Linked DNA regions of Diceros bicornis minor. The protein of the gene in region 1 interacts with the protein of each later gene in a pairwise test. Links are inferred from orthologs where the notes say so. Each region holds a gene or a part of one and is shown on either strand. Other genes may lie near its edges. The genes, in order: RNF111 and UBE2W.

Evidence for each region.
Region 2: the proteins of RNF111 (region 1) and UBE2W interact in a two-hybrid assay, tested with the Homo sapiens proteins (2 studies listed by BioGRID and IntAct). The link is inferred for Diceros bicornis minor from reciprocal best matches to the Homo sapiens genes RNF111 and UBE2W.

The regions. Positions count from the first base shown.
Region 1 is NC_080744.1:54,052,854-54,056,767, forward strand, and holds the start of RNF111 (E3 ubiquitin-protein ligase Arkadia), read left to right. Parts: upstream 1-1,009; 5' UTR 1,010-1,349; intron 1,350-1,472; exon of another isoform or gene 1,473-1,686; intron 1,687-3,520; exon of another isoform or gene 3,521-3,914. UniProt on the Homo sapiens protein: E3 ubiquitin-protein ligase. Required for mesoderm patterning during embryonic development. Acts as an enhancer of the transcriptional responses of the SMAD2/SMAD3 effectors, which are activated downstream of BMP.
Region 2 is NC_080772.1:25,346,927-25,350,840, forward strand, and holds the start of UBE2W (ubiquitin-conjugating enzyme E2 W), read right to left. Parts: upstream 3,186-3,914; coding exon 3,084-3,185; intron 1-3,083. UniProt on the Homo sapiens protein: Accepts ubiquitin from the E1 complex and catalyzes its covalent attachment to other proteins.

The DNA.
Region 1 (3,914 bases):
TTTTTTAAAACATTTTCTTCACTGAACAGTATGGAGAACATGAGTGCACAAAAGAAAGGGTATTGAGAAAGCTAAGTTGATGACAAAGGGAGGGAATTAATGTTTATTAAACACTTAATTGATATGTGACCTTCAAAGCATTATATAAACTATCATTTAATCCCACAAGAACCCTTTGAGGTAAATAACATAGCTCAATTTATAGAGGAGGAAACTGAGATTTTTTTTTTTGGTTTTAGATATCATTTTATTTCTTTTCTCATTGAGGTGTAACTGACATTTTATCTCTTTTCTCTCTTTTTTTTGGAAACAGATTTATAAAGCTCTAATAAATCAGAGAGCTGTTAATTGGCATCACTAGGATTTGAAAGGAAGTCTGTCTGACTGATTCTAAAGCCTACATCCTCTTTACCTACATCCTCCTAATGCACGCAGTGAAGCATTTGCTATCTACTGATTTTTATAAAATAATTAAGAAGGCGTATGTGATTGTACAGTCAGTTCCCAAGATATCTATTACCACTTTTGATCTGATTCTTTAAGCAAATTCACCTTAACAGTGAGGTACCATTATCTTTACGTCACTAGCGAGTATGATGTGGTATCATTTGTTGTGAAAGACACTAAACCATGTTGTTTTTGTTTAATTGTACCGTTTAAGTATAGTCAATAATTTTGTAGTTAGTTGTAATTTTTAGTTACGAAAAAATTAGCCAAAATGTAGTCAGTATTTTGCTTAATTACGGAACGCACAATCACCAAGGAAAATTAAATAACGAGCTTCATGACACCGCTCGGCTTCGCCCACAGACTGACACAGCGAGTACAAATGGGGAGGTCCGGGGAAGACGGGGCGGGACAGTGAAAGACAAGAATCTGAGCAAGCGCAGAAACAAACAGATGTTAATAGAGGCGTGAAGGCTGCTGCGCTCTCGCTTTCCGAACTGTCGTAAAGCCCCGAGTGTCGTGCTCGCTCCGTAGAGGAGGGATTGGTTAGGCGGCGGCAGCGCCGGCGGCGGCAGGAGAGCAGCAGCAGTGGCGGCGACGGTGGCGAGGTGTTCGGTCTGCGCAGCATAGAAAGGCCCGCAGCGTCGGGGAAGGAGTTCCTGTAGGACCAAATTAGGCATTCTGACCACAAGCCCTGTGAGCTGGGCCGACCCAGGCGCTGCCGCTCGTACAGTTTTGGTGGCGGTGACAGACGCTGCTCTTGACTATAGGGGCCTGTTAGGCCGAGATCTGAGACGCAGATCACTGGCTCTCGACGCATCCTCTTCCCTCCTTACATCTCGTGTCTTCCTTCCTGGACCAGTGGTTCCCGGACCCTGGGAAGAGGGTGGCTAATGATTAAGGTGAGGGGGCCAGGGGGGAGGGGATCGATTGGAGGCCGCGCGTGCGCGCAACGGGGGAGGGGCCGGCCCGGAGGGGAGAAAGAGGAAGGGCTGCGGCCGCGGAAGGCTGGGGTCCGCGACCGGCCGGTGATTGCTGGTTCCGCAGTGACTTAGGGTCTGGGTCTCCGCAGATTTAATTGTGTTTGAGCAAAGCGTTTGTCTGCGGACACACCCACACCCCACAGTAGGGGAGTGTGGGTGGGGGGATTTCTTTCCCTTTTTCGACTCTCCGTGGAGTCTGAGGATGGGGGCTGAGGACTGAGGCGTGGGAGCGCGATTTGACAATGGAGCGATGAAGGTAACCCGCACCCGGGGTGTTGGAGGGCGCTGGGTCAGCTCTGACGGTTAGGGAGTTGCCTTCTTGTGGGCTCAAGGAAACGTAGTCCGCGGAACAGCAGAAATATAGGCGCGTCAGATTTTGTATAGAGTTGGCCTGTTGGTCATTAAAAGGAGCTTGATATTTTTATTATCGATATATTTATTATCAGAGTCAGTGGCCATGCTGTAGTGGAAATATCTATTCTATACTGCAGAGATAGAGGTTTGTCACAGTAGTTTCTTAAATAGGTTATAGTAGATCTTCACAGATACTTCTTAATGCAAGTGTAAGTTTTAACGTTTAAAAAAATACCAGGAAGTGTAGGGTATTCATTTAGTTTGTTCATGTTTGTAGTGTGGGGTGACTCCATTGTATTGTATGCTTTCCTGTTTCTTGATTTACGTGCAGTATGAGTTTAGAACTCTCTCGAGTGGTGAGATGCCAGCTGACAGACTTCATTTGATTGTTCTTACAGCTTTTGAACCTGACTTAATCCTAACTTTATTTCATTTGATATTTTATGTTTAGTGTTCTGGTGTTAGGGACCTCTTCAACCAAAAAGAACAGACTGTGGAAAAGATAAGCTAAGGTTCTGTTTCTTTTTCTTTTTTTGTTTTTTTTGTGTGTGTCATTGCTTTCATGTGTTAGAATGTGGTTTCGATATTACATAGAAGTTCTATAATACTGGTTTTACTTTGCTTTATTAGGGTGAAGATCTACATTTTGATAGTTTCTTACTATGTTTTTTAGTAAAAATTTTCATGTCAATATAAACCATGTGGTTTTTCATATAAACAGTGGGCTTTGGTTGTGTTTGTGAGACAAAATAGATAGGATGAGAAAGAAGCCCTTTTATTCTGAAAATAATCCTAAATTTTTTTTTTAAGTCTTGAATTATTTTGCTTTTATCCATCTCTTGTCAGTTAACCTTGGACAAATGACATTTCTCTCCTGCTCATTTGTTTGCTGCCTAAGATTCAGAGTAGTATTCTAAAGAACTGGTGAGGGTGTTTATGAATTGGTCTAAACAATGTTGTAGGAAAAACTAGGAAGAGTAGAGTCTCTCCTACCCCCTCAGGGGTGCTGTGTCTTGTGTGTGTGGATTCTTCTGTCATTTTTTTCCTTTTGATTGGTGTCTTTTGGTCACTTGCATGTTAGTTCTTTCACTAGAGTTGGTTTTTGAAGAAAGATATAATCAAAATAATTTCATTTTGGTGAAAAAGACATTATAGTGGAGGTTGCACCTTGACAAATTTCACTTCGATACTCTATTTCTACAGATAATTGAAAACTAGCTATGCTGATGTTTAAGAGAACAGCAATTTACACGTCTAAAGCAAAGGAATAGTCAGCAGATATTCCTAAATAGTTATTTTCATTTTAAAATTTAAAATATGGAGTAAAAAACTATTGAATCAAACCGATTAGGTTTTTTACAAGTTTCTTTTATTGTTTTGTCAAAGAGAGTTTCTGTAATATGCTTTACTTGGAGCGTAATTATACGTGGCCCTGTTTTGACTTTTCTTTCTGTGGGCTAGGACTTCAGTAGGTTAAAAAAGAAAAAAGGGGGGCTGGCCCCGTTGGCGTAGTGGTTAAGTGCACATGCTCTGCTGCTGGCGGCTGGGTTTGGATCGGCCAGGTTCGGATCCTGGGCTGGCAGCGATGCACTGCTTGTCAGGCCATGCTGTGGCAGCGTCCCATATAAAGTGGAGGAAGATGGGCACAGATGTTAGCCTAGGGCCAGTCTTCCTCAGCAAAAAAAAAAAAAAAAAGAGGATTGGCATGGATGTTAGCTCGTAGCTGATCTTCCTCACAAAAAAAAAAAGAAAAAAGGGACAGTACTAAAAATGATAGTAGTTAAAGTATATTATAACTTGATGTTAACATTCTGTGTGACATTGTCTTATGAAAGAGTATAGGGCTAGAGACAGGAGATCTGGATTTTAGGTCTAGCATTGCTTGCTATTCATTAGATCTTTGACTTTATTGATAACCATCCTGGGCTTCAGATCTCACTCAATTGTTAAATGAGAATTGTGGGATAGATAACTCTAGTTTTCTCTAGGTCTCAAATTTAATGGTTTATATTTTTAGTTAGGTGTTTTGGTATTCATTGTTGTATTCATCATGATCCAATCCCCAGAAGGAAGTGCTATACTGAGAGTATAAATTCCTTAGTGCTGTGTATATATTAGGAAAAAAAACTA
Region 2 (3,914 bases), on another chromosome or scaffold:
CATTTTATCAATTCAAGTAATCAAATCCTATGTTACACTTGTATGATATACATGTTTTTAAAACACAGTTCCTCTTAAAGCTTAATAACCTCTTCAGCAGTAGTAATATCCCGGCGTGGGTAAAATAAAGACATCTAGGGCCGGCCCCGTGGCTTAGTGGTTAAGTGCGTGCGCTCTGATGCTGGGGGCTCGGGTTCGGATCCCTGGCCCGCACTGACGCGCTGCTTCTCCAGCCATGCTGAGGCCGCGTCCCACATACAGCAACTGGAGGGATGTGCAGCTATGACATACAACTATCTACTGGGGCTTTGGAGGAAAATAAACAAATAAATAAAAATTATAAAAAAAAAAAATCTACTGAAAACTTTCTAGGCAAGGACATGGTCAGAGCAGCATTCATGTACAGTGTACTTTTTCCTAAGTGCTCTACTGAAATCCCAAAAATATCCATTTCACAACCTCCTTCCACACTTTTTCTCCATATCACTATCACCTTTTAATATAATGTGCAACTAGCAAATATTTTGTTCTTATCTGTCTCCCCCAATTGGACTACTATATCCACAAGGGCAGAAATCTTGCTTTTGTTCACTGCCATATCCCCAGCACCTAGATGAGTACTTGATACATAGTAGGCCCTCAAAAAATAATTCATGAGTGAATGAACAAATTTCATAATTTGGTTGCAGTTTTATGTGTAACTTAGTCATTCTGAAAAGAGTTAAACTCTACTACTAAGTAGGAAAAAATGTTGTTCACCAGACACAGAATAATCACAGAAAGTAGTGCTGTGTTTCAAAAAGTTTATCTATATTAAAATATTTTTCTAGGGGCCGGCCCGGTGGCGCAAGCGGTTGGGTGCACGCGCTCCGCTGCGGCGGCCCGGGGTTCGCTGGTTCGGATCCCGGGCGCGCACCGAAGTACTGCTTGGTAAGCCATGCTGTGGCGGCGTCCCATATAAAGTGGAGGAAGATAGGCACCGATGTTAGCCCAGGGCCGTCTTCCTCAGCAAAAAAAGAGGAGGATTGGCGGATGTTAGCTCAGGGCTGATCTCCTCACAAAAAAAAAATATATATATATATATTTTTCTAGATACTATCAGAAAATCTTTATCAGATATTTAAAAAATACAAATAAAAGATTTAGTTTTATTTTAATTAAAATAGGAAACATCAGTTTTCTATTCCTCTAATCAAAAGACAAAGGAATAAAAGGGTGATAAGACAGTCAGAAAAATGCAGTATTGCACTGGCAAGTATTGTTTTCCATTGCTTAAGTCGCCATGTAAAATTCAAGATTATCAACATTAAGTTCTGTGCCAACTCAGCTTTTTCTCTTAAAAATTAAAATCTGCCTTTTCCAGACACTTGAAGTCTAAATCTAACCAGCTAATTAGCTATCCCTACAATTCTCTTGTCAAATATAATCACAAGTGTTGGGGATTTTAATATTAATTGTTAGTCTTAAATAATTTTAACCTTAACACGAATAATCTTAAACTGGTCATATAGCCCATCTACTGTTCAACTACTGTTCCACAGTTCCTTTTTTAGCCTCAAATGACGAAACTCCTCTAACGTCTCTGTGGAGACTAGTGTCAAGTGTAATGTTTCTGAAATTGTTTTTTCTCTGCATCGTTTCATGACATCTCTTCAACTAGGAATGTTATATACAATTTTTTTTCCCTATTCTGCAAGGAAGTCCAGACGGAGAAGCAACTGTAAAAAGAACATTCTATGAGAAACAGGTTGAAAGAGGATAACACAAAAGTACAGAAGTCAATGTGAAGCAAACGTGCACAAAAGAGGAAGAAGATGCAGAAAACAGAAGAGATGAAAGAAAAACACTGTTCTCGTCTAGGAAAGAAAAAAACAAGGAGGGTGGATAGGGAGACTTGCTTATTCTTCTAGAAACAAAAGCACAAAATCCTTCTAAGAAAAACGTGGTCTCCTTGTTAAGCAAATGTTAAAACTCTAAAAGGCGCTCAGCTGCCACTCCAAACGACAATTCTTCCTTCTCTTCCTATATGTTTCGATAGAGCTAGTCTTCATCTGTAAATTAAATGCAAGCTCTAGATAATGCAGAGTCAATCTCTACAAAACTGCAACTGTGGTTGCCATCTTTGCCTGAAAAAAACCAAACTCGTTGGATTTGGAAAAAAGGAGTATATTAAGTAGCAAAGCCAGAAAACCACGCGTTGCCAAGTCAGGCAGATACAACACGAGTTAACAAACGCTTCCTACCAAACTAAGGTTCCCCTAAAGATCTGGGGAAGAAGGGCAAAGGGCTGCAGCCTTACCGCGACCGCAAGGGTGGGGCACAGCAGGGAAAAAAATTTGAGGGCGAGCTATCCCGGGAGGTCTAAGGGGACTGGTGACTCGGCTCTCGGGGAGATCGCCTACTAGGCGGCCAATGATGTCGATGGACTAAGGGCAGCTTCGGGGACAGTGAGAAAGGGGGACGAATGTTCGTGGAGGGTGCGGAGGTGATACAGAAAGGTACCCACGGGGCAAAGGATTAAGAGTCAAAGGGAGGAGAGCCGAGGGGCCGAGCGGTCCGGAGGCCGGGCGTGGGAGGCCTGAGCGGAGGCCGCGAATCGCCTTTGCAGCCAGCCGCCTTCTCGGGGAACGCCTTTTCAGCTCCCCACACTCAGCCCCTCTCAGGGCCGCCCCTGCCCCGGCGACAACGGCGAGAGCAGCTGTTTCCGCCCGGCCGGGGACCACGGAGGAAAAGGCATCCCTGGGGCGGGCGGGGAGGCCGCCTGCGTGAACGGGAGGGGATTCCGAGACCACTGCCGCCCAGCCAACGCCAAACTTGGCCCTTTCCTCCCCTTCGCCCTCTTTCTCCCCCAACTTCGCGGCCGGCGGGTGTCCGCTTCGACCGACCGCGACCCCCCCACCCCCGCCCTTCTTCTCGCCGCCTCTCACCCCTCCCCAACGCCCTGAGGCTGAGGCAGGACGGGCCACGAGGGCCGCTCCCGAACCCGCCCGGGTGCCCCAGGGTCCCAGACGCCGCCCCCGACGAGACGGTCGCATCCTCTCGGCGGCTCCCTCGCCCGCCCAGATGCTGCAAACTCCTCTCACCTGCATTGACGCCATGATGGAACCATCCCCCCAAGGCCGGCGAGGCCAGAGACGCAGGGGGCGGAGCCGCCGTGCTTGCGTCACGCCGCGGGGGCCCAGCATCCCGGGCGCGGGGGCGGGGCCTGCGATGGGAAGGGGATGGTGCTAGGGGATTGGCTGGCGCCCGGGGGGGAGGGGCGGGTGGGGGCGCGGTAAATGGCGCTGTCTGTACCCTCGGTCACAGCCGGCTCTAGGGCGTCGGGGGCTCGCCCGCCGGCTGCTCCGGCCGCTTAGGGGACGCCGCTCCGGTTCTGACCTGAACACGGACGTTGTTTTTTTTTCTGTCTCTGCTCCGACATCCTGATGATGTCTGGGCCCGAGGGGTTTTCTCTGTTTTGTTTTGTTTTTCCGACCACAGGTGTGTGGTTTACGGATTTTTCCCCTCAGATGTCTTTTCCACACGACCATGCCCCCTCTCACACCCTTGGGCCAGATAAAACTTCCCGCGGGGCTGCTTTCAGGTTTTGAGGACCTGGAAGACTTCTCATATTCCTAATTTGGGGAAGAGAAACACAGATTTCCTTCTACAACGGGATGAGAATTGAGAGCACAACAGCACTTGGGTATTTTAAAGGCGAGAGTAGATTTGAAGAGCTGAAACTTGCCTGAAAGGGAAGAGAAAATTTTGAAGTTTTTCTTTCGTTTGTGTGCGATTTCCGCCCCTTTACCGCAGCTCCTCAGTTTTAAACTTAACGTGTGTCAGTGGTAGTTATGGTTATTCTGGCATTGGTGTTTGATTAGAGATTTGATCCTGGATGTGAAAAAATTTTTTTAATGTACCAGTGTCACGTT